Mus musculus: one gene and its partners. The protein of the gene in region 1 interacts with the protein of each later gene in a pairwise test. Links are inferred from orthologs where the notes say so. Each region holds a gene or a part of one and is shown in the gene's direction. Other genes may lie near its edges. The genes, in order: Cep76, 2510002D24Rik, Ttc21a, Cabp5, Akap7, Sall2 and Dzip1l.

Region 1 (3,500 bases):
TATACGAATAATAATACTGAAGTCCTCTCTTTGGCACAGAAATCAGCATTTGATAAATACAAAGACCATCTTTCTTTTTGGTTTTTCGAGACAGGGTTTCTCTGTGTAGCCCTGGCTGTCCTGGAACTCACTCTGTAGACCAGGCTGGCCTGGAACTCAGAAATCTACCTGCCTCTGCCTCCCAAGTGCTGGGATTAAAGGCGTGTGCCACCATGCCCGGCTAAAGACCATCTTTATACACTGCACACAAAGATCATCCCAGCAGAGATTGCTCAGTGAGTAAGAGCACTGGATTCTCTTCCAGAGGACCCAAGTTCAATTCCCAGCACCCCCAAGGCAGCTCACAACTATCTGTAACTACAGTTCCAGGGCACATGGCTCCTCACACAACCATACATGAAAGCAAAAACAGTAATGAACATAAAATAAACAAATCTCTAAAACAAAGCACCATGTACTTGAGGCAGCTACCTGCAACTCTCAACTGCAAGGAGTCCAGTCACTCACATGGCCTCCTTGGGCATCTGCATCCCACACATATTCACATTCATATGAGGTTTTTTTAGGGTCTTTTGTTGATATAGTTCTGGTTGACCTGGAACTTCCTAGACCAGGCTGGCCTTGAACTCACAGAGATCCACGCCTCTGCCTCCTGAGTGCTGGGATTAAAAGCATGTGCTCCCATGCTCCATTTATAGCAGCTTATTCGTAGGAGTCTGGAGACAGTGAGGAAACAAAATGCTGGCTGTAAACTGGGTATGGTGGTGCATGACTTTAATCCCAGTACTTGCAGAGACAGGCGGATCTCTGAGTTCAAGGCCCGCCTGCTCTAAAAGTGAATTCCAGGACAGCCAGGCTTCACAGAGAAGCCCTGTCTCATAAAACCAAAACAAAACTCCAGTTACAGGTTTTAAATTGAAAAGTTTCCGCAGGGTGGTGTGTGATGGATGGTTACTGGGAGGCCAACCTAGGTCACATCTTTAGGGTACAAACGTATCTGAATTGCAACAAATGTTAGTATTTAATTCCAAGATTGGGCCTGTGTTTTTTGGGTAGTGGGTGCAACATCCTTGAGTAAAAGGCTTGTGTGGATGGGAGAGAGAAAATGAGCCGGGGGCCGGAGTGATAATAAGCTTAGACAGGTAGTTTTCATGATGGTAGGAAGTGACTGAAGTGTTTCCTTACTTAAAAAATTCCACGTGTGCAGGAAAAAGTCGTTTGGATGATGGGATGGAGACTAGGGATATTGAAGTAATTATACAATCCGGGAAATGTTGAGTTGTTTGCAGAAGAGTATGTAGTTCAGGTTAAGTTAGAAACAGCAATGGAGAACAGTAGATTGTTCTGGTAATTGAGGACATTTTATAGACATTTAATTGTTAATTAATTTATTTTTTTTAATTTCAAGCTTGCCTTGGAACGTCAGAAAACTGCAGAGAAAGAGCGATTATTTCTCGTCTATGCTAAGCAGTGGTGGAGGGAGTATTTGCAAATTCGACCTTCTCACAACTCAAGGCTGGTCAAGATTTTTGCCCAGGTTTGTAAATTATCTTAGACAAGTTTCATCCCTATATTTGAAATGTAGTGCTATAAATGTTTAATTTACATTTGTAAAAATATATTCATTGCACAAATGAAAGTTTATTTCTAAAATAGTTATCATTTATTGGGTAGGTTGGTGGCATAACAGTTTTTGTTAACTTGGAATATACCTTTTCATAATACTTGATTAAACATTTGGATATTTATGTTAGTTTTTTGCTATTGTTTTTTTTTAAGATTTACTTACTTATATGAGCCCACTGTCACTGTCTTCAGACAAGAAAAGGGCATCCGATCCCATTACAGATGACTGTGAGCCACCATGTGGATGCCATCTCTCCAACTCCCTAGGGATAGCTCAATGGTTAAGAGCACTGACTGCTTTTCCAGAGGTCTGAGTTCAATTCCCAGCATCCACATGGTGGTTCACAGCCACCTGTAATTGGATCTGATACTCTCTTCTGGTGTGTCTGAAGATAACAGCTACAGCTTACTCAGATAAACAAACAAACAAACAAATAAATAAACGAGTTGTTGTGGTCATGGTATCTTTTCACAGCAATAGAAACCCTAAGACATCATCTATGACACTTAATGTCAAAAAACATCTAGCACTGTAGGTGTTATATATATGATGAGGTGAATATAAACTATTTGATCTATTCCTCAGAAGTGATACCTATATATATTCCATAGAAACTATACTATAAATTTTGATTTCTAGACTAGTAATGTGTGGCATGTACAATTTTTTGATGCTAGGCAGCCACAGCTTCAGTGTGTCACCAGATCAAAGGTAAACAACAGATATTCCTTAGTGTATTGTGTTTCTAAGCTACAACAGAGGGCAGGACAGCTGTACTAAAGGCACTTTCAAGCTAATACGTTCATCGGCATGAAACTGCACCGAAGTCAAGGTTTCATTTGTAGTTCAAATTCTGCAAACATTTCTGGTCACTGGCTCAGACATAGTGATTATACACTTTGCAATACAATTATTGCACTTACTATAATTGTTTAAAAATATTTCATGTATATTTGTACTAATGTGTGTAAATGATATATGACCACGCACATGCCCCGTGCACGTGTGAAGGTCAAAGGCTAGTTTGAAGATGGTTCTTTTCCTTCCTCCTTTGTATGAGCTCCAGGGTTGTTCAGCTCTCATAGCAAGCGGAGTCATAGAAGTGGTACTTAATGCTGGTTTTTTTGTTTTCTTTTTTTAAAGATTAATTTATTTATGTATGTGAGGTCATCAGAACCTATTACAGATGGTTTGTGGTTGCTGGGAATTGAACTCAGGACCTCTGGAAGAACTGTCAGTGATCTTAACCATTAAGCTATCTCTCCAACCCTATTCTATCTTTTTTAAGATTTATTATTTATTTTATGTATGTGAGTATACTGTCACTCTCTTCAGCCACACCAGAAGAGGGCATCAGATCCCATAACAGATGGCTGTGAGCCACCATGTGGATGCTGGGAATTGAACTCAGGACCTCTAGAAGAGCAGTCAGTGCTCTTATCTGTTGAGCCATCTCTCCAGCCCCCCATAGTAACTCTTATAAAGAAAACATTTATTGTTGTTGTATTTCGAGACAGGGTTTCTCTGTGTAGCCCTGGTTGTCCTGGAACTTACTAGACCAAGCTGGCCTTTAATTCAGAAATCCACCTGCCTCTGCCTCCCAAGAGCTGGAATTAAAGGCATATGCCACCACTGCCCGGCTAAAGAACCCATTAAATTGGAGCTGGCTTACAGTTTTAGAAGTTTATTATTGTCATGATGGGAAACATGAAGGAAGCATGCGGGCTGGAGAGGAGCTGAGGGCGCTACCTTGGCAGGCAGCAGGAAGAGAATGCCACACTGGGCCTGGCTTGAGCCCCTGAGTCTCAGAGCCACACTTCCTCCACCAATGTCACACCATCCAACAAGGCCATACCTTCTTAGAGTGCTACCC
Region 2 (3,966 bases), on another chromosome or scaffold:
CTTGGAGTGGAGCTGGTCAGGCCTAGCAAGGTCCTCATGGAGGGTGCACTTTCCCTCTATGTTTGTAGTTCCAGAGTGTGTCCATTTGCTCTTAGAAATATCCATAAACTTAATTGGCTCCTAACTCTGGCACATACATCATTACTGGCCAAATGTGGCTCTGGAAGGCATAAATGCTGTGGTAACCTGCCCGACCTGTCCTATGGGGCTGTCTCAGTTTCCCTAGCAGTAAGACAGCTTTCATTTGTAGGATTCTGTTAGCTAACTTGGTCAGGCTGGAAAGAGCTCAGTTAAGCACTTGTTCGTGCAGAGGATCCAGGTTTGCTTCCCAGCACTCACATGGTGGCTCATAGCCTGTAATTATAACTGTAACTCCAGTTCCAGATGATCTAAGTATATGTGTTGCACATACATAGTTATACACACAAGTGCACTAATAAAAATGTGACTGCATGTGTAGATAAGAGTACAGTGCTCAGGAGTCCCTTCTGTCGCCTAGAAGGATCAAACTAGGAGGGATCAAACTCGGGTCCTTGGTTCTGTTCACAAGTTTCTCTACAGCTGAGTCATCTCACCTTATGATCTCCAGTTAGGTTTTTTTTTTTTTTTTTAAATTGTTTTTGTTGTTGGGTTTGTTTCCTTTTTGAGACAGGGTCTCACTAATATATATATATATATATATATATATATATATATATATTCCTTTCTGGTCTAGAACTGACTCACTGAGATGTCCCTGCTCTTGTTTCCTGAATGCTGGGATTAAAGGTGTGCAACCCTGAGCCTGTCACTTCTAGGAGAACTTCTTTCACCCTTAGTCATCCTGCACTGCCTTCCTCCTCTCCATACACCAAATCAAGCTCACCTACACTCTGTGTATGCTCAGGCTACATACCTGCAATTTCAGTCCGCCAGGTGGGTTACTCAAGAGTTCAAGAGTCTGTACTTCAAAAACTGAACCACATACGGATTTGAAAAATAAAAAACTGGGAGAACTGACCAGAACTCCTGTTTTTTCCGAATGCTAATTAATACCTTATGTGACTTTGAAGCCAAGCCATCGGCTAGACACCAGGTAGTGTGGCCTCTGACTATCAGCCACTCAGTGCAGACGTCCTGTTTAGTGCGCGTTTGCTTGGAGCTCATTGGTTCATGTCCCTGTCAGTCACACGGGGCCTGGACATGGCGGTCGCAGGGAGCTGGCAGGTGAGTGTGCTTGGCTCCTGGGCTCCTGGGCTGGGTGGGATCAGGCCCTGGGGGCTGCCCGCGCTCTCCGCTGTCTCTCCCCGCAGCCTCCCCGGCCGTGCGAGGTCTACCGCGCCGAGTGGGAGCTCTGCCGCAGCGTCGGGCACGTCCTACACCACTACTACGTCCACGGCAAGCGGCCGGATTGCAGGCAGTGGCTCCGCGACCTGACTAACTGCCGCGAGTGGGAGGAGAGCCGCAGCGCCGAGGCCCAGGTGCGGGCTGGGTGTGGATGTATGCGCAGATCCTTGGGGCAACTCTCTCGTGTTTCTCTCCTGAGTACCAAACTGCGTTATCAACGAGACTTTAGACAGCCTCAGTTACGGGGTGGGGCGGCGCGGGGAGGGGGGCGCAGAAGGAAGGGAAGTATAGAGAGGCTTGGAGAGAGTAACCTTATAGCGTTAGAGTCATCAGCTTGACAGCAAGCTTGCCTTCACCCAGCCCTTGGGGATAGGACGGAGGAAGAGAAAAGCCAACGTGTCTGGAGCACGAGGGTGGGCTATAGAGGGCATAAGAATGAGTCCAAGAGCACCTAAAAATGTTCCAGTACTTGTGAATTGAGTTATCTTTGGCAGGTCAGTCTGGACCTGAGAGTGTGAAGGGTACTGTAGAGGACAGAGACAAGTATGGAGGCTGTTGCTGGACCTTTTCGAGGGAGATGTGAAGAAACCTCTACTTACTCTAGATAGCCATGTAGACATGGCGAAAGTAAAAAACATGGCGGAAAGCAAAAGACTGGAAACTTAACTGTCTGTAACTATATGTCAGCTATCATAAATTAGTGTAAGAAACAAAGATGTTTCTGAATAGAGAAATGGCCAGGGTCATGGAGAAGCAATTCACCGGGAAACTCAGAACACAGAAGCAATTATTTCTTTATTTTATTTTTATTTTTTTTTATTTATTTTTTTTTGTTGTTGTGATTGAGACAGGGTTTTTCTGTATAGCCCTGGCTGTCCTGGAACTCACTGTAGACCAGGCTGGTTTTGAACTCAGAGTTCCGTCTGCCTCTGCCTCCTGAATTCTGGGATTAAAAGCGTGTGCCACAACCACTAGGCTTCTATATAGTTTTTAAAGTACTTTTATTCTTATTTTATGTGTGTTTTTCCTGCATATTTATCTGTACCATGTGAATCTACTGCCTGAGGGTCCTCTGGAACTGTAGTTTCAGATGGTTGTAAGCTGATGTTTGAGTGCTGGGAACCGAATCCCAGTCCTCTGGAAAGCAGCCTCTAACTGCTGAGGGATCTCTCTAGTCCTTACAAGCCTTTTTAAAAAGTCTTTGTGTGTGCGAGTGCGTGGCATGCGTGTGTATATATGTGCACACATTGCATGTAGAGAGACCCTCTGTTGACATTAGGCATCTTCCTCAGTCACTTCCCACCTTATATACTGAGGCAGGATCTCTCTGAACTTGGACGTCTCCATCTCCTGAGTGCTGGGACTACAGGCATTCACCCACATACTAGGCCCCTATTTGCTTCTTTGTTTTGTTTTGTTTTGTTTTGTTTCGAGACAGGGTTTCTCTATATAGCCCTGGCTGTCCTGGAACTCACTCTGTAGACCAGGCTGGCCTGGAACTCAGAAATCCTCCTGCCTCTGCCTCCCAAGTGCTGGGATTAAAGGCGTGTGCCACCACTGCCCGGCTCCTATTTGCTTATTAAGTAATAATGATCATGTGATCATGTTAGAGATGGGGTCTGGCTGTATAGCCCAGGCTGGTTTGGAACTTCAGATCCTTTTGGCTTTGTCTGCCAACTGTTGGGAATACTACCGCTCCCAGTTTAAGAATGTTTGTAAAGAGGCCTACATAGCACCTGACACTTTGCCAGGATCAGCCCTGTCATAATACACTGTCTAGTGTCTGTTGGCAGTGGCTGAAAGAAGCTGGCAGGATGGGGGGCACCTTTTACACATACCCTGTGCAGAGTCCAACAGTAATTTTAGACGCTCTCCCTCTCTTCCCCACCCAGTGTCCTCACTCCCAGGCTAGGCGGGTAACTAGCTCCACACTCTCCAGGTCTGCTGTTGCTGAGGCTTAGCGGGTTTTGCATGGCTGAAGGCAGAGACTGAACATAGTTGTGCATGCTTATAATTGCGGCACTCGGGAGGTGGAGACAACAATCTCAGAATTGAAGGTCATACATAGTGATCTTGAGACCAGCCTGGGCTACTTGAGACCCTGTCTAAAACATGTCCAAAGAACACAAAATAAAACTGCTGAAGTAAGATGACCGGTGTGTGCTAAAACAGAACAGTTGCCAAGGAGTGTGGTATAGAAGCAGCTGAGCCTGTGTGTACCATGTGCTCCCATGTGTTCCTCTCTTCAGAAGAGTGTTGAGGAAGAGGGTGATATAGGTGCCATGCAGCAGTACTAAGAGCCCTAGGATCCAGTGGTGAAACAGTAAGTGACCAAGTCTCATTTGTACAGCGATCCCTCTGTGAGAGCGAGCAGGTTCGGGTCCAGGCTGCTCAGAAGCACACCTTGGTATGGGCCTTGAGGCAAAGGCCCCCTACGGACTGGAACCTCCCTCTACCACAGGAGAAGGACAAGTGATAAGCAACTGCAACCCTACCCTTGACCTAGACTTTGACTGGCTCTTACTTGACCTGGAACACAGAGCAAAGCATTTCCAGCCCTAATTGCCTGCTGCCCACTGGATCTGGGCATTTCATCACTGTAATACTCTGAAAGACACCTGTGTGCACATGCTGGAAGCC
Region 3 (3,500 bases), on another chromosome or scaffold:
CTCTGTGTTCTCTGGGGCACTGGGGTTTGCTTGGGGTGGAGGAAGCTGGCTCAGTGCTTGGAGCAACTGTTCTTGGCTAGCCCTGAGGGGCTGAGTATTGAGGTCCCTTGGTCTAAGCTCAGGCCTCCCTGAGAGATAGTGTAGTTATCAGAGCAGTTAAAACTTTCTGGTCAGCACATTAGGCCCTCACACCAACACCTCTCCTCCATCATCTATCTATCTATCTATCTATCTATCTATCTATCTATCTATCTATCTATCTATCTATCCATCCATCCATCCATCCATCCATCCATCCATCCATCCATCCATCTATCTATCTATCTATCTATCTATCTATCTATCTATCTATCTATCTATTATTTAGAGAGAAGATCTTTTGTAGTACGGCCTGACCTCAAACTTAATATAGCTGAAAATGGCCTTGAGCCAGCCCTCCCGCCTCTGCCCCCAGTGTTGGCATTACAGGCATAGAACATGAAGGCTTTGATTTGATTTTGTTTTATTTTATTTATTAGTGTGCATTTGTACAATGCCGTGGCACACATATGGAGACCAGAGGACATCTTTGATTTTCTTCCACCTTTATGTCGGTCCCAGGGAATCCAAGTCAGGTCACCAGGCTTATGCAGCGAGCACCTTTATCTGCCGAGCACTCTGGCCAGCCCTGATGGCATTCTTAAAAGATGACTCCAAGCTGGATGTGGTGACACATGACTTTAATCCCAGCCCTCGGGAGTCAGGGACAGTCAGATCTCTGTGAGTTTGAGGCCATCCTGGTCTACATAGAGAACTCCAGAACAGCCAGGGCCACGATAAACAAACAAGCAAGCAAACAAGGGAATTTAAAAGAAGACTCCATTGCAAGTGTGCTAGAAGGGAAAAGTGACATTAGCAGACCAGAAGTTTCAAGAACCTCAGAGGCAGACAGTGTCACGCTCGGGAAGTCCAAGCATGACTAGAAACCTGTGAGCCAACATAGGCAGGGGTGAGCCAGCCAAAGACCAAAGCTGGGCATGGTGGCCATGTCTGCCACTCCAGACCTCTGAAGACTGAGGCAGAGGATTCTGAGTTCAAGACCATCCTCCCCACCCAGAGACCCTGTCTTCAGAAAACAACAAAATGAGCAGACCAGCTTTCTCCAAAGAGTCCCAGGGAATATCAGGGTATCAGAGGCAGAGAGCAAAAGCTCACAGTGGGACAGATATCCAGGAAGTGGATTGTGAGAACATTCAAGGAGACCCTTACAGAGAACTGGAGGGAAGAGAGTATTGCCCCAGAGGACCCCTCATCACCGCCATGAAAGTCTCAGCACGGCTCAGCACACAGGCAGATCTCCTGAGGCATTCACTCACCACACTGACTCCTTCCCAGCTTCCTCATTTCAGGGAAGGCCCCGGCAGGGAACCAGAGGGAAGCCAGCTGCTTACAAGTCTGCCTCACACCAATCTGACCCAGGACAAGCTCAGCCCTTCACTTGCTGGAGTCCCCATCTCAGCTGACCCAGAGGGGCAAGTCAGGGGGAGGTGCCAGCCTGAGCTTGCAAGTTCTACCAACTACCCCAGGCTCAGTCTTTGTACTTCTGGATCTGCAAGCAGTGTGCAGGGCAGGGGTTGTCCAGTGGGTCACGCAAATCAGGGGGCCTCTAGGAAGCAAAGTCAAGCCCCAAAGCCTGGGACTTCCCAGTGATTGAAGTGAAGGGCACCATCAGCTGGGAGGAGAGGATCGTGAGTTCAAGATCACCCTCAGCTCTGTAGAGTTTGAGGCCAGCCTAGGCTTACATGAGACACCGTCTTGAAAATAATAATGATTAAAAATAAGTTAATCACCCTAGTATATAAAAAGAAACTGGTGGACATTGCCTAGTAGAGTGTCTGCCACCACCACCATAAAAAAAAAATCACCCCAAACAAAAGGCAGGGGGTGGGGTGAGGCTGCAAATAGGAAATTCACAATCTAATTAAAGTCACTAACTGGCTGGAGAGTGGCTCAGCAGTTAAGAGCACTGACTGCTCTTCCAGAGGTCCTGAGTTCAAATCCCAGCAACCATATGGTGGCTCACAACCATCTGTAATGGGATAGGATGCCCCCTTCGTGTGTATCTGAAGACAGCTACAGTGAACCCATATACATTAAATAAATAAACCTTTAAAACAATTAAAATAAAATAAAAAGTTACTAACTAAAAACTATAAAAATGTTCACTCCCCCTAATAATCAAAAGAATATGGACTAGAACTCATCCCCTGAGTGGGAGAGGGAGCGCAGGTGCCCACAGGGGTCAGAAGAGGGTGTCGGATCCCCTGAGCTGCGGTTGCAGGCAGTTTCGAGCCCTCTTGTGAGTGCTAGGAACCTGACTCAGGTCCTCTGCCGGAACCGCAGCGCTCTTACCAGCTGTGTCTACCTCCAGCTCGCCCTGTCACATTGGACTGGTAAGATTGAATGTGTCTGAGACTGGAACGAATGATATGTCTCAATTCTTAGCAGGGAAGGCAGGATGGCTGCGTGGGTAAAGTGGCCACCAGCAAGCCTGATGACCTGAGTTCAGTCCCCAGGGCCCACCAAGGACAGAACTGGCTCCCACTGGTTGCCTTCTGACCCTCACGAGTGCAACATGGCAGACATGCTCATGCGCATTGCACACACATACCCAGGGCTTCGTGCACGCTATACCCTGGACCCCCAAATGTGGATCTTTGAGTAGCTGTGTGTACATTAATAACAAATACTTAGAAAAATGTCCGAAGGGTTAAGCCCCAAGTTCTTAATGGTGGTTATCACTGGAGCTGATTTTAAAGCTAACATATGAATGAGGGATCATTGTTGTCTTCCTGCTTCCGTTCCCTGCCCCCTCTTCAGTTTGTAAAGACATGAGGACACAGCCTGGGGTGCCTCCTTCCTCCTCAGTCCTGCCCCTGGCTCTGCCGCTCTGCAGGGCTGCTGGCTCTGCTGCCTGCCTGCCTGCCTGCCCAGCTTCATTCTCGTTCATCTATAGGGAGCATCTGGTGCCAGATCCTACAGGGCCAGCTGGAGGAGGCTGCTCACCAGCTGGAGTTCCTCAAGGAGGTGCAGCAGTCCCTTGGGAAGTCTGAGGTCAGAGCTAATGGGCAAGGATGGCTGGGAGGGGGGTCTCCAGCAGAGGGCCATCAAAGTGGCCCACCTTACTGCTCGGGGCCAGCCTCAGCTCGCCTGAGCCCAAGCCTCTCTCGCACAGTTGCTGGTTTTCCTGCAAGCCCTCGTAGCAGCTAAGAAGCAAAGGCTGGAGCAGGAGGCCACGGCGCTCCTGAAGGAGGCGGTGGAAGTGCACTTCTCCAGCATGCAGGGTCTGGCCCTGAGCCCCGAGTACTTTGAAAAGCTGGACCCCCTCTTTCTGGTCTGCATCGCCAAGGAGTATCTGCATTTCTGCCCCAAGCAGGTTAGGGGAACCAATCTCCATGGCAGGGGCTAAAGTACAGGTGTAGGTGGTGCTCACATGAAGATAGAGGTGAGGGCTTTCCCTG
Region 4 (4,261 bases), on another chromosome or scaffold:
TAATAAGGCTTCTCATCCTCCTTACATACCCAACTTTGCTCTTCCCACACAAGTATCAAGAAGGAGCAAAAGGGAGGAGATGAGCAGAGGATGAATGATTGCCATGGCTTCCATCCTATGCATATTCATGTATTAGCATCCAGTGTTATGTAGCAATTTGCTTCTGGAGAGGAGTAGGTTTATAAGTCTCAGGAAACTATCAAACCTATGAGCCTCAGGAAGCTCATGAAACTTACAAGACCAAGGCAGCTCGGGAAATTACATGATTCACAAGGGTTCCTCCCCAAAGTTATGTAAGTATTAAGCAATTTCTAGATGTGAGGGCACTCTTCAGGGGAACTGCCTGCAGGTTGTGTAGGGACTTTCAAATATACAGCATTCATGAGTCATTACCTATGATAGGCTTTTAGTGATGGGTCATAATCCATCACTCATATTCCTGTTGGCAACCTGAATGAACTCACTGGTTCACAAAGTTAGACTTGGGTTGGCTGCAAGTGCCTTATGTAGAATAAACATGTATTTATGTCTCCTTAGGAGGTCACATAACATCTGAAATCAAGTGGTTCCTTTTTATTTTTTATTCATTCTTTGGCAAGTTCCTACATGGATATAATGTATACTAAGCATATCCTCACTCACTTTCCTACTCCTTCTTGACATCTCTCAATGCTTCCCTTTCTACCTTCATATTTTTTCTCTCTCTGTATCTCTGTCTCTGTCTCTCTGTCTCTTTCTCTCAATCCACTGCTAACTAATCTTGTTCAATTGTTCTTGTTCAAATAACCATAGATGCAATGAGTGTCTGAGTGCAATGGCTGTGTCATGTTTAGAAGGCGATATTTCACAGCATGTTTTCCATATTTTGGTTCTTCCATTCTTTCACTCCCCTCCACTCCTTAATGTTTCCTGAGTCTTAAGGAAGGGGTTGATAGCAATGTCCCATTTAGGACTGGACACTCAACAAATACTTAGCACTTTGGCTGATTATTATTTCAGTATTGACAGCTACCTATTGTAGAGAGTCTTTTTTAGTCATTGTCAAAAGCAGAACTAATTTATAGGTATAAAAATAAGTATTTAGAAGGCAGTTTAGCAAAATACCTATTTAGAAAAACAACAGTATATAAGTTTCTCCAAGTGCCTGTGATCTTCTGGTATCAAGTATTGTTGCATCTTGTTCCTTTGGGCGCATGGCTGATGACCACATTCATCCTTTTAATCTTTCACTCACTAAAGGTCAGGCTTAGATGAGTGTTCAAAATGCTTGTTGGTACAGAAAATGATTGGAGGCCTCACCCTAATCCCTCTTTCAAAATGTACTATCCAATTCCATTCTGGGGATAAAAGAGTTTCAGAGGCCCACATTGGCTCCCCCTCCCATCTCACTCCAGCCATAAATGGGAGGTAGGAAGAGCTCTAATCCCTCCACTGTCTAAGTAGAATTTTCCATGAGCTGTCACAGATCTCTCACAGGGACTGAGGAAGAAGCTAAGAGAAACAGGAGGAGTTGGCAAAGGATTGAGACAATCAGGAAGCTGGGTTGCCTGCTGCAAGGAAGTAGGAAGGAGGGGCCATCTTGACATCAGAGCTTGGTGAACACTACCTGCTCCAATGCAGTTTCCAATGGGTCCTGCCTGCATCTTCTTGAGAAAAGGCATTGCTGAAAAGCAGCGGGTGAGGTGGGGATGGTGCAGAGAATGATAGGAAGATCAAGGGGGTCTGGGGCATGGGGAAAAGAAGGGGTATGCAAATGCTGAGCAGCAAGGGGAGCAGGTGGAGAGAGCACAAACTGAAGCTCAGGTAGCACTGTTTGGGCATAAGGGTCAGTGATCAGAAGTCAGAAGCAGAGGGGTATAGTGGAGTGAGACATAAAAGAGAGATGCTATGGAGCCATTGTTGACAGCATCATTGTTTCATATGGGAAATCATACAATGATGATGGTGATGGTGTTAATGGTAATGCTGCTTCTGCTGGTGGTGATGACATTGCTGGTGCTGACGGTGGTGATGAGGATGGTGATGACAATGAGGATAGTGATGGTGGTGCTGCTGCTTCTGATGATGATTATGGTGATGGTGGTGATGATGCTGATGATGGTATTAACAATAGCTATTGCTTATTAAGTCTTGCTGTTTGTCCAGTCTTGTGCAAAAGGCTTTACGTGCTTGATGGCATTCAGTCCTCAGAACAGCACATGAGGTTTGGTATAATTTCATTCCTATTTTACAAGGAAGTAAAATTGTAAACTGAGGCCATTAAGTCATGAAGTAGTTTGTTTTACGCCTATACAGCCAACATGTGTCTCTATCTATCTATCTATCTATCTATCTATCTATCTATCTATCTATCTATCTATCTGTTAATTCACTCATTTATTTACTTATTCAGTCATGTTTGAGTCTCAGTAGCATATTCTTCATTGTAAGGCCTTAAAATTACCAGAGAGGGGGAAAAAGAAAGGAGCGGTGAAAGGAATAAGGGGAAAAGATAGAAGGGAAGAGAAGAGGAGGGGACACAGATCAGGATGAGGCAAGGCATGGAAGGGAAAAATAGGGGAAGGAGAAAAGGGGAAGAGAGATGAGGGAAGGTAAGAGATTTCATGGTTAGAAAAGAAGAGAGAAAATCCACAGTGAGGTCTCCCAGAATAAGGTTGATAAGAAGTTAATTACCAGACACTATGCCTGCTAACCAAGCATACCCTCAGGTGTACTCATGATTAGGGAACAATGACCAGCAATTCCCATATGTAAGACTAAGACTGAATATTCTACGAAAACCCCTCTGAGAACTGGTTTCACACAGGAGAAGCTCACCCCAGGAATGAGGATGGAGGTGCTAGAGTCAGTGGGATGTAGCAGAAAGAATTTGGCATAGCATTCAGGAGTTCTACATCCTACTCTCAATCCTGTATCTGATCTTTGAGTGACTTCAAAGGAGTATGCATGTCATAAAAGCAGAAGAGGGTATTGTATTTGGGAAGAAATGGGATTGGAAAGAGTGGAACATGTACTATATGTGGTGGTGCCAAAGTCAGCAAAGAACAATGACATAGGTGTGTGACAACATCATGATGCAAAACTGGTTTTTTGGTGATAAAACAAATTTAGTTTTAAAGGTTGAAGTGTCTGAGTATGTATCTTAGTTGGTAGAGTTTATCTAGCACATATGAGGCCCTAGATTCAATCTTCAGTACCATACAAAGTAGGTGTGGTGGGTTGTGTCTGTAATTCTAGTGTCTGTCAGATGGAGGCAGGAGGATCAGGAGTTCTTTTTAGGTATTAGCCTGGCTACATGAAACTATCTCAATAAATATGTAATAGAATAAATAAATAAGGGCCAATGAGATAGATCAGAAGGTAAAGGGACCTGTTGCTAAATTTGATTACATGAGTTCTATCTCCAGGTTTGTGTATGGAGAGAACCAATTGCCTCAAATTGTCCTCTGATCCTTCACAAGTACTTGGCAAGTACTTGCATTTCAAAACAATTAAACAAACAAACAAATAAATAAAAGGAAAATAGAACAAATTTATTTATCTCTCCCTTGAAAGGGAATATTCTATTTATGAGCTGTGTGACCTTTGGTAGGCTCATTAAATCTTTTTATTCTTTAGCTTCTCATGGGTAAGATAAGAATATTTGAGTCTACCTCAGTGATGTGGTTCTGAGGTATAAGTATAATGACAGTACTCACACAGAGATCCCTCTGAACACAGTAGATGAGACATAATGTACTTTCTTTATCTGGGGAAAAAGTTCTTATCACAGGATGTTTGGGATAGAAAGTTGGAGATTAAGATGCAAAGGTGGGAGACAAGAAATGAGTGGGGATGGGAGAAAAGGGTCATTAGAGAAGAGCTGGGGATGGGAGTTGTATTAGAGGGAGGAATATGAAAGTTAGAGGAAGACTGTGAAGGTAAAAAAGCTTGATGGAACAATGGGGTTTTTTTGGGAGGTGGGAATTATATTTCTGACTCTTTCAATATCCTCTCCTGTGTTCTTTTCAGGAGAGACCACTGGGACAGGATGAGCTTGATGGTAATTCCTTTCTCAGATGCCCTTCCATGTAGTCACCTATTACTGCTCTCTTCTCCTGCATTTCTGTGTAAATTACCCCATGTGAAGAATGCTTTTCTCCTGTGTCCCTGATCAAATATAATCTGCACAGCACATTCTGGGTCATTTTAGGTTCTACTCCTTGAGTGTTGACAGGTGTCTGTCTCATTTGCATAAGTCACAGGGACTTGGAAATGATGC
Region 5 (4,272 bases), on another chromosome or scaffold:
TTTGCGATTTTCTTTTTCTTATCAAAGGTCTCTGGGCTGTCCAGCCTCTGGTTCCTGGTCATGCTGTAGTATCAAGCATGGGCTTCCTTTTGTGGCGTGAGCTTCAGACTAGAGCAGTCACTGGTTGGCCACTCTCCCAAGATCTTTGCCTCCTTTGCCCCAGCACATTATTTCAGACAGGGTAGATTGTAGGTGAAAGGTTTGGGGGCTGGGTTGGTGTTCTGGTTCCTCCACTGAAGTTATATCCCAAGGCTAAGGATTACACCACAGATGTGTGGTTAAAATAGAAACACAGCGCTTTGGTTTTGTTTTGTTTTTAAAAGGAGGGAAATCCAGGAGTGGGCTCTTGAGCTGAAGGAAGACACCTCGCCCCCAAGCATCAGACCACACATGAGGTGCAGAACCCACGTCTCCCAGGTCTGTAGCGTCCTTTGTGAAGCCCGAGGAGGGGGGAGTGGGGGTAGTGCTCTACTCTTTGCAAACTGGCTGTCAACCTTGCTGTGTCAGTGCACTGCTCCTACTCCCCAGTTACATAAATACACCTTTAAAACAGAGTGGGGAGTAATCCTTACAAAGAGAAATGTATAGTCTACTTCCAGCAGGAAAAGGGAGGGCAAAGAGTTGTTTCTCTGTCTACTGCGTAAAGTAATCCTTATGCTTAAACGTCTTATCTGTACCCTGTCCAGTCCAGCTAGCATCGGCTGGCCTTTGAGGATCCTCTTGCCGCAAGCTCCCTTACTTATTTTTCGTTCTTTCTCTGTGATTAGATAGCCTGCTCCTTTAAAAAGACCGTTTTCCGTGAAGATCCACAAAAAGGGGCTAAGCAGGGAATTCTTCAAAGTTCCCTACCAGCTTTAAGGGCTACAGCTGTGGAGAAGAGACACACCACCATATTTTCTTAAATTAAAATTACATTCCCCAACAAACCAGCAGTAATACCACCATTTGCCCCCAGCCCGGAAAAAAACAGTAGCATTCTTTTCTACAAGACATATTCATATTTTAACTATTAAAAAAAATAGTTTTCTCTTATTTTATTCAGATACTGAGGAGCCTTGCCTGCAAAAAATTTGTAGATGATTTCATTTAACAATTCCAACTTTTAGCTCTTAAACTGCTGTTGAAAATGCTACTTTTGGGGGGGGGGTAATGGCAAGTAAATAAAAGCATCTCATTATAGCGACGTTCAAGGTCTCGCTATTGTATTGTACATTTTGCTCAGCCCGCCTATTTTGCAATCAGATCTGTGTTTCCAAAGCTCCACGCTAAAGCAAACACACGGGTTCTCAAGGGACAGCGGGCCAAGGAATGCTCTCTGGATCCCTGGCTCGCCCCTCCGAGCGTGGGACGGGAAGGGCCGCGCCGCAGGAAATAACCGAGGGCGGCCAGAGGTCGGAGCCCGAGCCCAGCACGGCCCCGGGGACCGCCCCGATCCGGGTATCCACGCCTCGCCGGGCCGGCCCCTTCCGGCTCCTCCTGAAGCGGCGGGTGCCGGGGATGCTGCGACTCGCGGGGCGTTGCGCCTCCGCAGGCCTGGCCGCCGCGGCCCGCGCCCCCGCCGTCCCGCGCGCCCCGGGCCCGCGCCTCCGTCTCTGCGCCGCGACCATGGAGCGCCCCGCCGTGGGTGAGAGCGCTCCGCCCTGCGCGCCCCGGGGCGGCCTCTGCCGTGGGGCGTGCTCGCCCGCCCCGCTCCGCCTCCCAGGCCGCCCGCAGCCCCACGCCCCTCGCGATCGACCCTCCCCCTACACCCTGGGCATCCCGGTCCAGCCCGGTAGTCCGGGCAGTTTGGTTGCATCCGTGGGTCTCCGTGCACCACTCCACTCCTCGAACCGAAAGGGGTGTACACACAAGTTGTTGTTTCTCTTACCTCTTCCTATCTTGTGACCCATGACCCAGAGTTTTGCAGCACATCCTTTCCTACTGTGTTGGGGAGGTTAACAAAATCAAGGGGGGAAAAAAAAAACTCCGTTTTATTTACCTAATTATTTTTTAAAATGGCAAATAGAAGCCTCTGAACACTGTCTTGTCTCATTTAGGGTTTTACTCGAGGCTTGGCAAGGCACACTTTAAAACGGGCGCCAATCTGCTGGCGCCCAGGATGTACTTCAGCTTGGGTCAACTTTCGTTGTATGCTGAACCTGGGTAGGAATTAGAGGTTGGACTCGGAGGGAAAGGGACTGGGAAGTAAGGGGAAAAAGGTGTTCTACAAGAACACCTACATGTATACAAAGCGTAAGAATATTAAAATAGGCAGTCCAAGCATGCTATGTAAATACTTTATATGTATGTAAATATAAATCAGGTGAATAATGTACATGCGTTTATAAATTTCATGTGAATGCAATTACTCGTATCACGTGAGGAGATGCCCAGAGTGTCCCTGCTTGAGATGTTTTTATAAGGTTACAGGAGTGTGGGTAATAGGCAGAAGGGAATAGGGTAATAGTTGGAAAGAGAGGACTCTTCTCACCTTTTTACACCGTGTGGCTTTGCAGTTTGGGATGCTGTTAGCGCATCGTTTCCCTATAGTGACAAAGCTTATGGCACTTGTCCAGTTTACTGGGTCCTTCCATTCATGTAGTGTCGATTTGTCAATTTCTCCTTAATAATTTGGATTGCTCCCTCTTCATGAGGCGCAAATGGAAGCACACTGGGTAAGTGGCCTGGTTGGCATGAAGTTTAAACATTTCTGGAGACCTACTCTGCTGTTTTACGTAGCTAGTCGAAGTAGATAGACCGTAATGAATGACAGGCCCATTCCATAGCTGTTTACAGTGCTGGGGAACCAGAAGAGAGTCTTGCCCAATGAAGGTGTGTTTTGTTGTTCAGATAGGAAACTTACTTTGTAGGACTTGGGCAGTCTGTCTGTCTGTCTGTCTGTCTTTTTTGTTTTCTGTTTGCTTGGCTTTGGTAGTGTTTGCTGAAGTGTCCCTGTGATCTGAGGATTTGAATGCATTTACTTTCTTGGCTTGAGAAGATTCTTTACATACATTCATGGTTTTTCTTACAAAAGCAATATTCACTTTAGAAACAACCTAGTACAGTGGTTGGAAAGTATTTGGCATTCAGAAACACTTCAGCTTTTATTCTTCCTTTCCTACCCGTACGTCTTGGGAACATGCAGTTTTCTAGCTACTTTTTGACTTATGCTTGTTTTTGTAACACTGGGGATAAAGCCTAGGGCTTTGTGTATGCTAAGTCAGCATGACCTTGACTGCGTATCTGCTTGTTAGAGAGTCGCCTTTCCCCCTGTTGTTAGACTCCTCATACCGGTGGTTTTCAGTCACCAGAATGATCATGCACTGTTTAGTTGTTTCTCTGTTAGACATTTAAATTAGTTCCCCTTTTCTCTTTGCTTCAAGCAAGGTTGCGAGGAGGCCTGTTTGAGTGTATGTGAGAGGAACCCAGATTTCAGTAAGACATTTAGGCCATCTTCCGTGCTTCTCACCTGTTGACCCATTGCTTCCTGCCTCAGTTTACAGTGCTGCCATCAGTATATGGTAAAGAGTGATTCTGGAAACTGTGGGTCATGTGACATGTTCACGTGATCCGAATGTTAGCTCCTGAATCTACTTTACTTGTGGGCAGGTTCCTAAGTCGGTGCCTGGTGTAATACTAGTCTTCCCTATAACAGAGTTGTTAAGGTTTAAATGAGTTACTTAGCAAAGTGCGCGTGCCTGGCATAAAGTACCCATTACAATGTTGGCTAGTAATGCTGGTAATGCTAATGTCTAATTAGCAAAACTAGTAATTCTAGTATTGCTAATTTCCAGCTTCACGTCATCATTATTAGTGTAACCTTTACTCCCGTGATTATTTGGATTTTTGGAAATGATACACTTTGTTTTAGTGACAGACCAAATTTTGGGTGACTTTAAAATTCTTTGTGCCATGTGGCTCAGGCTGAGGGTAGCCTTGAACTCTTCACCTTCCTGTCTGTGCCTCCCTGGGATTGCAAGTGTGACCTAACACGCCTGGCTTACACACTTTGACATAGCTTGATGTACTTTGTAGAGTTGAATCTCAGTCTGGTACGCAGCAAGCAAGAGCTCTCTCATGGTGGTAGATCCCGAGCTCCGTTAACTTTACAGGTGAGACAACAATCTCACTAAATTAGTTGTATAGGTTTGTTTGTTTTTTTAATTTATTATTCTGCCTCAACTCTTTAAGTACCTGGGATTGCAGGTCTGTGCTACCAGGCTCAGTTTATTTAAGCAACATTACAGCAGCCAAAACAATGAATTTGTGCTTTAAATCTTAAAGATCGACTGT
Region 6 (4,237 bases), on another chromosome or scaffold:
CCAAGACCTGAGATCACTTTTTTTTCCATGTAAAAATACGGGATTTGGGGCTGGTGAGATGGCTCAGTGGGTAAGAACACCTGACTGCTCTTCCAAAGGTCCAGTGTTCAAGTCCCAGCAACCACATGGTGGCTCGCAACCATCCGTAACAAGATCTGACGCCCTCTTCTGGTGTGTCTGAAGACAGCTACAGTGTACTTACATATAATAAATAAATCTTACAAAAACAAAAAACAAAAAACGGGATTTTGCCGGGCAGTGGTGGCGCACGCCTTTAGTTCCAGCAATTGGGAGGCAGAGGCAGACGGATTTCTGAGTTCGAGGTCAGCCTGGTCTACAAAGTGAGTTCCAGGACAGCCAGGGCCACACAGAGAAACCCTGTCTTGAAGAAAAAAATAAATAAACAAAGGATTTTAGGAAGTAGGGGACCCTTTAAATCTCAGTTCAAGGAAGAAAAAGAATGCAGAATACCTGGTCTGCGGCACCTTATCCCTACTTACTCCCTCTGAATAAAAGGCAGGGCCCGATGGAGGTGAGCAGGTGTCAGTCTTGTTTAGGAATTGAAATCCGCTTGGGGCCCGTTAGGAGCTTTGGATCCTGAGCTGCAGACAGTGAAAGCCCATTCCGCATCTTCCCCATTGTTTCAGAAGGAGCTCCCCTCCCCCCAGGGTTGGAGCTGGGTGGACCTCCTTAGGCCTTTGTAAGCTAATATCTTATTTAATTGTCCGCATTAGGGACGGGGTGGGTTGGAAAGAGGGTACCGAACCGGAAAGAAGGGCTTTTTTAAAAGTAGGAACTCTGCATTTGGTATATGGCCAGTGGCCTGTGGACTAGCTTGTGTTGAACTCTGGGGGAAGGGCTTGGTGTTCCTCAAGAAGGGGCCCTCAAATGACTCCCTTGGGAATTCTATCTTGCAATCCACCCCCCTCCCCAAACTTCTTTTGTGAAGAGAGATGAGGGTAAGATGGGAGTAGGGGTGAAGAGAAAACTTGAGATCATTCTGCGGTGTGCGAGCTGGTAAGGGGTGGGTGTTTGAGGCTGCTCCTCCCATTCTTGTCCTCCGACCTCTGAGGCGAGCTGAGCACCCTTTGGAATCCACGTTTTCCGAGCTCAGCAGATCCTTTATCCAAAGAAAAATTACTGAAGCCTATCGCCTTAATCTATTGAGCGGGCAATGTTTCCCACTGTGGGCTTGAGGCTGACCCAGTGGAAGCAGCTAGGATAAAGACATCTGGGGTGGGGAGCTGGCAGAGGATAGGGCACAGTGGGCCCCTAAGGTGCCTCACTGACACCTGACCCAGAGCCGGAGTAAAGCTTCCTAGACTTGCCCCCTCCCCGCTTCCCCCCTCCCCCCTCCCCCCCGCACTCTCCGCTCTCGCCTCCTCCAGCTTTCGTCTCCCTCCCTGGCAGCTTCTCCCCCACAAACTCTCCTCCCCCATCTCCCCACTACCAGCTTTCGCGCTCCAGCTCCTCCCCTCCTCCGCGCCTTCTCGCTTCCCTCCCCCCTCCGCCGCTGCTCCCTGCCCCCGCCACTGCCGATCTCCTCCGCAGTCTGGGTCGCTGGGTGCAGAGACTGCCGCAGCGCCGGCGGCCTCCCCAGACCGGATACCCATTGTGTCCTAACCCATCCCGCCTTCCACTTCCCACGGCCATGGCGCAGGAAACCGGGAGCAGCTCTCGACTCGGGGGACCCTGCGGGGAGTCTGCGGAGCGCGGAGGTGCGGTAGGGCCAGGCTTGGGCAGAGATGGGGGCCTAGGGAACACTCGTGTGTAAGGACTTTAAGTGGGCGGATAAAATGTGTGATTCTGCACATAGGCCCCAGGTCTCGCATCCATTCTCACCCTTCCTGGGCCAGAGGAGGGGGAGGGGTAACGGAGGAGGCTGGGAGAGTGCGCGCCCTATCCCCCAACCCCCGTTTTGCTGGGTGTCCAGGAACCACGAGAGTCGGATCTGTCTGAGAGCTAGCTTCCTGCAGGGTCTGACTGTAAGCTTAAATTCCGACCCTAACCGGAGGTTCCTGGGCCGCCCGTTCTTTAGAGCCTCCGTTATCCAACACTGTGGCATTACCCACACTTTTCTCCTTGTCTTCTCCCCAGGTGATGCTAGCGAGGAAGACCACCCCCAAGTCTGTGCCAAATGCTGCGCACAATTCTCTGACCCGACCGAATTCCTCGCTCACCAGAACTCATGTTGCACTGACCCACCGGTAATGGTGATAATTGGAGGCCAGGAGAATCCCAGCAACTCTTCAGCCTCCTCTGCGCCCCGACCAGAGGGCCACAGTAGGTCCCAGGTCATGGATACAGAGCACAGCAATCCCCCAGATTCTGGGTCCTCTGGGGCCCCGGATCCCACTTGGGGGCCAGAGCGGAGGGGAGAGGAATCTTCTGGGCAATTCCTGGTCGCTGCCACAGGTACAGCGGCTGGGGGAGGTGGGGGCCTTATCTTGGCCAGTCCCAAGCTGGGAGCAACCCCATTACCTCCAGAATCCACTCCTGCACCCCCTCCTCCCCCACCTCCCCCTCCCCCTCCAGGTGTAGGCAGTGGCCACTTGAACATTCCTCTGATCTTGGAAGAGTTGCGGGTGCTGCAGCAGCGCCAGATTCACCAGATGCAGATGACTGAACAAATCTGCCGCCAGGTGCTGCTACTTGGCTCCTTGGGGCAGACCGTGGGTGCCCCTGCCAGTCCCTCAGAGCTACCTGGGACAGGGGCTGCCTCTTCCACCAAGCCCCTACTGCCTCTCTTCAGTCCCATCAAGCCAGCGCAAACTGGCAAGACACTGGCATCTTCCTCTTCGTCATCCTCCTCCTCTGGAGCTGAACCGCCTAAGCAGGCTTTCTTCCACCTTTACCATCCACTGGGATCACAGCATCCCTTCTCTGTAGGAGGGGTTGGGCGGAGCCACAAACCCACCCCTGCCCCTTCCCCTGCGCTGCCAGGCAGTACGGATCAGCTGATTGCTTCACCTCATCTGGCATTCCCAGGCACCACCGGACTCCTGGCAGCTCAGTGTCTTGGGGCAGCAAGGGGCCTTGAGGCTGCTGCCTCCCCAGGGCTCCTGAAGCCAAAGAACGGAAGTGGTGAACTGGGCTATGGGGAAGTGATCAGTTCCTTGGAGAAACCCGGTGGAAGGCACAAATGCCGCTTTTGTGCAAAAGTATTCGGCAGTGACAGCGCCCTGCAGATCCACCTTCGTTCCCACACTGGTGAGAGGCCCTATAAGTGCAACGTCTGTGGTAACCGTTTCACAACTCGGGGCAACCTCAAAGTACATTTTCACCGGCATCGTGAGAAGTACCCACATGTGCAAATGAATCCACATCCAGTACCGGAGCACCTAGACTACGTCATCACCAGCAGTGGGCTGCCTTACGGAATGTCTGTGCCACCAGAGAAAGCAGAAGAGGAGGCAGGCACACCAGGCGGAGGTGTTGAACGCAAACCCCTAGTGGCCTCCACCACAGCACTCAGTGCCACAGAGAGCCTGACACTGCTCTCCACTGGCACAAGCACAGCAGTGGCTCCTGGGCTCCCTACTTTCAACAAGTTTGTGCTCATGAAGGCAGTGGAACCCAAGAGTAAAGCGGATGAGAACACGCCCCCAGGGAGTGAGGGCTCCGCCATCGCTGGAGTAGCAGACAGTGGCTCAGCAACCCGAATGCAGCTAAGTAAGCTGGTGACGTCACTACCGAGTTGGGCACTGCTTACTAATCACTTGAAGTCAACTGGAAGTTTCCCCTTCCCTTATGTGCTAGAACCCTTGGGGGCTTCGCCTTCTGAGACCTCAAAGCTGCAGCAGCTAGTAGAAAAGATTGACCGCCAAGGAGCTGTGGCGGTGGCATCTACTGCCTCGGGAGCTCCCACCACTTCTGCCCCTGCACCTTCCTCCTCCGCTTCTGGACCTAACCAGTGTGTGATCTGTCTTCGGGTCCTGAGCTGCCCTCGGGCTCTACGCCTGCATTATGGCCAACATGGAGGTGAGCGGCCCTTCAAGTGTAAAGTGTGTGGCCGAGCTTTCTCCACAAGGGGCAATTTGCGCGCACATTTCGTGGGTCACAAGACCAGTCCAGCTGCCCGGGCTCAGAACTCCTGCCCCATTTGTCAGAAGAAGTTCACTAATGCTGTCACTCTGCAGCAACATGTTCGGATGCACCTGGGGGGCCAGATCCCCAATGGGGGTTCCGCACTTTCTGAAGGTGGGGGAGCTGCCCAGGAAAACAGCTCTGAGCAGTC
Region 7 (3,500 bases), on another chromosome or scaffold:
TCTGTGTGGGAAAGAAAATGTTGTTTGACATTTGCTTGGGAGACAAACAGGATGCCGGCTGTTGATGAAAATGGCTTTATAGTGACTGAAGCTGAGTTTTCCGGTAGTTGGAGTGACTTGTTCTTTAAACTTACCATGCTCTATCTCGTAGGGCGTCACGATGAGGAGTTGAACCTTTCTCTTCTCAAAGTAATGGCATCTGCCCCCAGCCTTTCAAGGTTCGCTTATAAAACCCACCAAAGGAAGTGATGCTCCTGCTTCAGGCTGTGTTTCTCCGCCCAGGTGGAGAATGGGGCGCTTACAGTTTTGACATTGCAAAGGAGAAGCGAGGGGAGCCCTGGGGTTTGCAGTCTGTAAGCGCCTCCTTATCTTAGTAGACTCCGAGATGCTGCTTCATGCCCGCTGCATAGTCCAAGCCTGTCAGCCTGTGAGAAGCCACCAGGGTTAGTTTTCTGGATGGAGCCTTGCTGCCTTAGTGGGCGGGCTGGCAAGATGATGGAGCTGGGAGATCATGTGTCTACTGATACAGTTTGGCTGTGTTACCCTCTGCTTGGCCTTGTTCGAGGATTCTGGTTTCTCTGTTGTAAGAGATGACATATTTTAACAAGACAACTAATAAGGAGGTTGAGGAACTCGGTGCTTGGCACAGAGTAGGAATTTAATAAGCATTTCTGTCTTTTAAAGACTCATTTTTAACTATGTTGCAAGTCTGTGTGCAGGTATGTGCAAGTGATGCAGATGGCCCCGTGGAGGCCAAAGGAGGGCGCTGGAATCCTTGAAGCTGGAGTTGTGGGTGGTTGTGAGCTGACTGATGGTGGTAGCCAAGCTCAGGTTAAATGAGGTAGACCCTCTTAACCACTGGGCCATTCAGCCCCGGGAACCACAATGATCAATCATCCAAGGGCTGTTAACAGCTCCAAAAGTCTGCAGAGATTCTTAGCGTTTGAATCCAGGGAGCTGGGTGAAGTTCAGGCTATGCTTCTCCATCATCTTGGTTTACCATGAGTGTGTGTGTGTGTGTGTGTGTGTGGCTATTGATAATCCGAGTTACTGGTTAACACCTGCTTCCTGTATGGAATTCACAGGAAGTGAATCTAATCCACTGATTAGATCGGAGCCCTATGTCTCACAGGCACGCCCCTGAGGTGTGCTCTACTAATTCCCTAGGCCATTTCCAATCCAGTCAGCTTGACAAGGTTAGCCATCACACATTGCCTGACATGCCAGTCTTTGTAGTTCATGCATTACAGAATTACAGGAATTAAACGGAAGGCTGGCTCTGCCTTGGATTCATTAGAGGGTTGGTCTTTCTAAACCTCCGCCAGCAGCCACGTCCTAACTCAGCACAGTTACATGATGAAGGCGGGTTTTTTTTGTCTGTTTGTTTGTTTTGCTCTATCACCTGTCTGTCTGTCTGTCTGTCTGTCTATCTAAGTCTCTTGAAACCAGGCTAGTATTAGCCTGGACCATCTCTATATTTTTTTTTCTCTGTGGGGGAGGGGAGGGGCTTGTCCTTTCTTTTTCCTCTTGACTCTCTCTCTCTCTCTCTCTCTCTCTCTCTCTCTCTCTCTCTCTCTCTCTCTCTGTCCATCCGTTCACACTGGAGCCTAGGTGTGGCCCAAAGGGACTAAGCATTCACTCTCCAGGTTTGCTCCACTGACCTGGTTCCTTGTCCCCTTCCCAGGAACACTGGTGCAGTCAATTGTCAAAAACCTTGAGAAGCAGCTTGAAACGCCAGCCAAGAAGCCTTCCGGAGGGGTCAATATGTTCTTAAGGCCCAACGCTGCCCTCCAGAGGGCTTCCACACCAGCAAGGAAGTCTCAGGTAGGACGCTTGGAGGTAATTCTACATCCCATGGAGAGCCAGCTCCAAATCTAAGGGCTCTGGAGTGGAGGGCTGGGGAAAGACTGAGCCAAGTATCAGTCTGATGTATCCTGAGAAGGCCACTCACTGCATGTGACATTGTCTCCTTTGTCTCTGTATACATAGAAAGATGACCACTTCGGGTTTTTTTTTTCCCTGTGGCCATGTTTAAAAAATCCCTTTGGTTCATTATATAAGTACTTCCTGAGGCGGCTCAGGTCCTAGTCTCCTCTCCCTGGGACCTTCCTGCTGTGGTTGCTATCTTCCTGTGCTATCTCTTCCATAGTCCCAAGTCTCCCCGGCCCTCACTCGACAGAAGGCCCTGACACAGGGTTAGATGTAAAACACTGTCCACCAAGGGCAGGCATCGGAGTGGTGCCACACAGCACATCAGATGGAGAAGTGTAGACCTCTGTCCCAAGTATTCAAGGGGGTCGGTGTCTCACCACTACACCCCCCGAGGGCCTGGCCTTCCTCAGGCTGTAGCTGCCATGGGATTGCAGACTTAGCACTCTTGTGAGTACCAGACTCGCCACCCTTCCCCTCCCAGGGGACAGCTGCCACTCTCTGTTATTTTCTAGGGTAGAAAAACAGAATTCTTTTTACTTCACGTCTTTCAACCAAAAAGGTTTATTTATTTATTATTTTTGAAATGATTATGATGTTGCCCCAAACAACAACAACAACAACAACAGTAGTAGTAGTAGTAGTAGTTGTGAGCAGTTGTCTTTTTAGTGTTATTGATGGCACTATCACCTGCTAGGCAGACTGTCACTGAGCAACCCCTTTAGTCCCCTACTCTTTGTTTTATAATAGCACTGTCTATCTCCTTTTTTCTTTTAATGACACAATCTTGGAGTTTATGTAAAGTTCTCCTGTCCTCCATTCAGAAACAGCAGCGATAGGCAAAACAGATGGAGGTGCTGTCTAGGCCCCGGATGCTGTCTTCTTACATGCCAGGATGAAATACGTGGAATGTCATATGTCCAAACCCAGGCAGCCAGTGGAGGTACAGAGAACCATGGACGAGAGCTCCTGGCCTGGGCCCTGTAGTCTGGATGTAGCCTAGCCCCCCCCCCCCCCCCCCCCCCCAGCAGACTTCAGTCTTCCCACTGGCTGCAGCCCAGACCCATTCTAGGCTATTCCACTCCTCCACCATCTCCTCTCACGTTTAGTATTTACCAGGCAGCTCTGACCTCCAGTCTTCAAGGAAGGGTCCTTTCAATTAAGGCCTCTCAAGAGCTTCAGGAGTTCAAGGCTCTGGGCTTCCAGTTCTGTGAATGTGAGGAGTTAAAAAATAATCTGCATTTAATATTACTCCCATACCTTTTTTATTACACATCATACTGTGTGTGGGTTTCATCTTGGAGCCCATGTAAAGATCTCTAAGTTCTTCCTCTTCCTCTGTTGTGAATGAACACTAATAGTCTAACACTCTTAATAGGTGACTGAGAGCATGCATGCCGCCCAGGTCTAGATGCAAACGTGAACAACCAGAGCGTCTGTCACAGGAAGCTCCAAGGTGCTTGCCTTGGCCTCGTTAGTAGGACACTAGAGTATCCCATCACAGTGGCCCTGAGTCTCTGGAGCAGCTTTTCAGAGGCAGGGCGTTTAAAAGGCAGGACAAGGAGTCTCCT

What was found.
Region 2: the proteins of Cep76 (region 1) and 2510002D24Rik interact in binary tests that used the Homo sapiens proteins (3 or more experiments, as listed by UniProt). The two-hybrid records come from large-scale screens. The link is inferred for Mus musculus from reciprocal best matches to the Homo sapiens genes CEP76 and C22orf39.
Region 3: the proteins of Cep76 (region 1) and Ttc21a interact in a two-hybrid assay, tested with the Homo sapiens proteins (2 studies listed by BioGRID). The two-hybrid records come from large-scale screens. The link is inferred for Mus musculus from reciprocal best matches to the Homo sapiens genes CEP76 and TTC21A.
Region 4: the proteins of Cep76 (region 1) and Cabp5 interact in binary tests that used the Homo sapiens proteins (3 or more experiments, as listed by UniProt). The link is inferred for Mus musculus from reciprocal best matches to the Homo sapiens genes CEP76 and CABP5.
Region 5: the proteins of Cep76 (region 1) and Akap7 interact in a two-hybrid assay, tested with the Homo sapiens proteins (3 studies listed by BioGRID). The two-hybrid records come from large-scale screens. The link is inferred for Mus musculus from reciprocal best matches to the Homo sapiens genes CEP76 and AKAP7.
Region 6: the proteins of Cep76 (region 1) and Sall2 interact in binary tests that used the Homo sapiens proteins (3 or more experiments, as listed by UniProt). The two-hybrid records come from large-scale screens. The link is inferred for Mus musculus from reciprocal best matches to the Homo sapiens genes CEP76 and SALL2.
Region 7: the proteins of Cep76 (region 1) and Dzip1l interact in binary tests that used the Homo sapiens proteins (3 or more experiments, as listed by UniProt). The link is inferred for Mus musculus from reciprocal best matches to the Homo sapiens genes CEP76 and DZIP1L.

What each region holds. Positions count from the first base shown.
Region 1 is NC_000084.6:67,627,856-67,631,355, reverse strand, and holds part of Cep76 (centrosomal protein of 76 kDa), read left to right. Parts: intron 1-1,408; coding exon 1,409-1,537; intron 1,538-3,500. UniProt on the Homo sapiens protein: Centrosomal protein involved in regulation of centriole duplication. Required to limit centriole duplication to once per cell cycle by preventing centriole reduplication.
Region 2 is NC_000082.6:18,835,414-18,839,379, forward strand, and holds the start of 2510002D24Rik (UPF0545 protein C22orf39 homolog), read left to right. Parts: upstream 1-1,166; 5' UTR 1,167-1,182; coding exon 1,183-1,206; intron 1,207-1,292; coding exon 1,293-1,460; intron 1,461-3,676; coding exon 3,677-3,802; 3' UTR 3,803-3,966. UniProt on the Homo sapiens protein: Negatively regulates long-term potentiation and modulates adult synaptic plasticity. Stabilizes the interaction of RTN4 isoform A/Nogo-A with its receptors, inhibiting clustering of postsynaptic AMPA receptors at synaptic sites.
Region 3 is NC_000075.6:119,947,606-119,951,105, forward strand, and holds part of Ttc21a (tetratricopeptide repeat protein 21A), read left to right. Parts: intron 1-2,995; coding exon 2,996-3,093; intron 3,094-3,214; coding exon 3,215-3,415; intron 3,416-3,500. UniProt on the Homo sapiens protein: Intraflagellar transport (IFT)-associated protein required for spermatogenesis. Required for sperm flagellar formation and intraflagellar transport.
Region 4 is NC_000073.6:13,396,694-13,400,954, forward strand, and holds the start of Cabp5 (calcium-binding protein 5), read left to right. Parts: upstream 1-1,461; 5' UTR 1,462-1,614; coding exon 1,615-1,677; intron 1,678-4,011; coding exon 4,012-4,042; intron 4,043-4,261. UniProt on the Homo sapiens protein: Inhibits calcium-dependent inactivation of L-type calcium channel and shifts voltage dependence of activation to more depolarized membrane potentials. Involved in the transmission of light signals.
Region 5 is NC_000076.6:25,294,280-25,298,551, reverse strand, and holds the start of Akap7 (A-kinase anchor protein 7), read left to right. Parts: upstream 1-1,472; 5' UTR 1,473-1,624; intron 1,625-1,815; exon of another isoform or gene 1,816-2,654; intron 2,655-2,660; exon of another isoform or gene 2,661-4,091; intron 4,092-4,272. UniProt on the Homo sapiens protein: Probably targets cAMP-dependent protein kinase (PKA) to the cellular membrane or cytoskeletal structures.
Region 6 is NC_000080.6:52,313,524-52,317,760, reverse strand, and holds the start of Sall2 (sal-like protein 2), read left to right. Parts: upstream 1-1,437; 5' UTR 1,438-1,651; coding exon 1,652-1,718; intron 1,719-2,097; coding exon 2,098-4,237. UniProt on the Homo sapiens protein: Probable transcription factor that plays a role in eye development before, during, and after optic fissure closure.
Region 7 is NC_000075.6:99,664,031-99,667,530, forward strand, and holds part of Dzip1l (zinc finger protein DZIP1L), read left to right. Parts: exon of another isoform or gene 1-1,684; coding exon 1,685-1,824; intron 1,825-3,500. UniProt on the Homo sapiens protein: Involved in primary cilium formation. Probably acts as a transition zone protein required for localization of PKD1/PC1 and PKD2/PC2 to the ciliary membrane.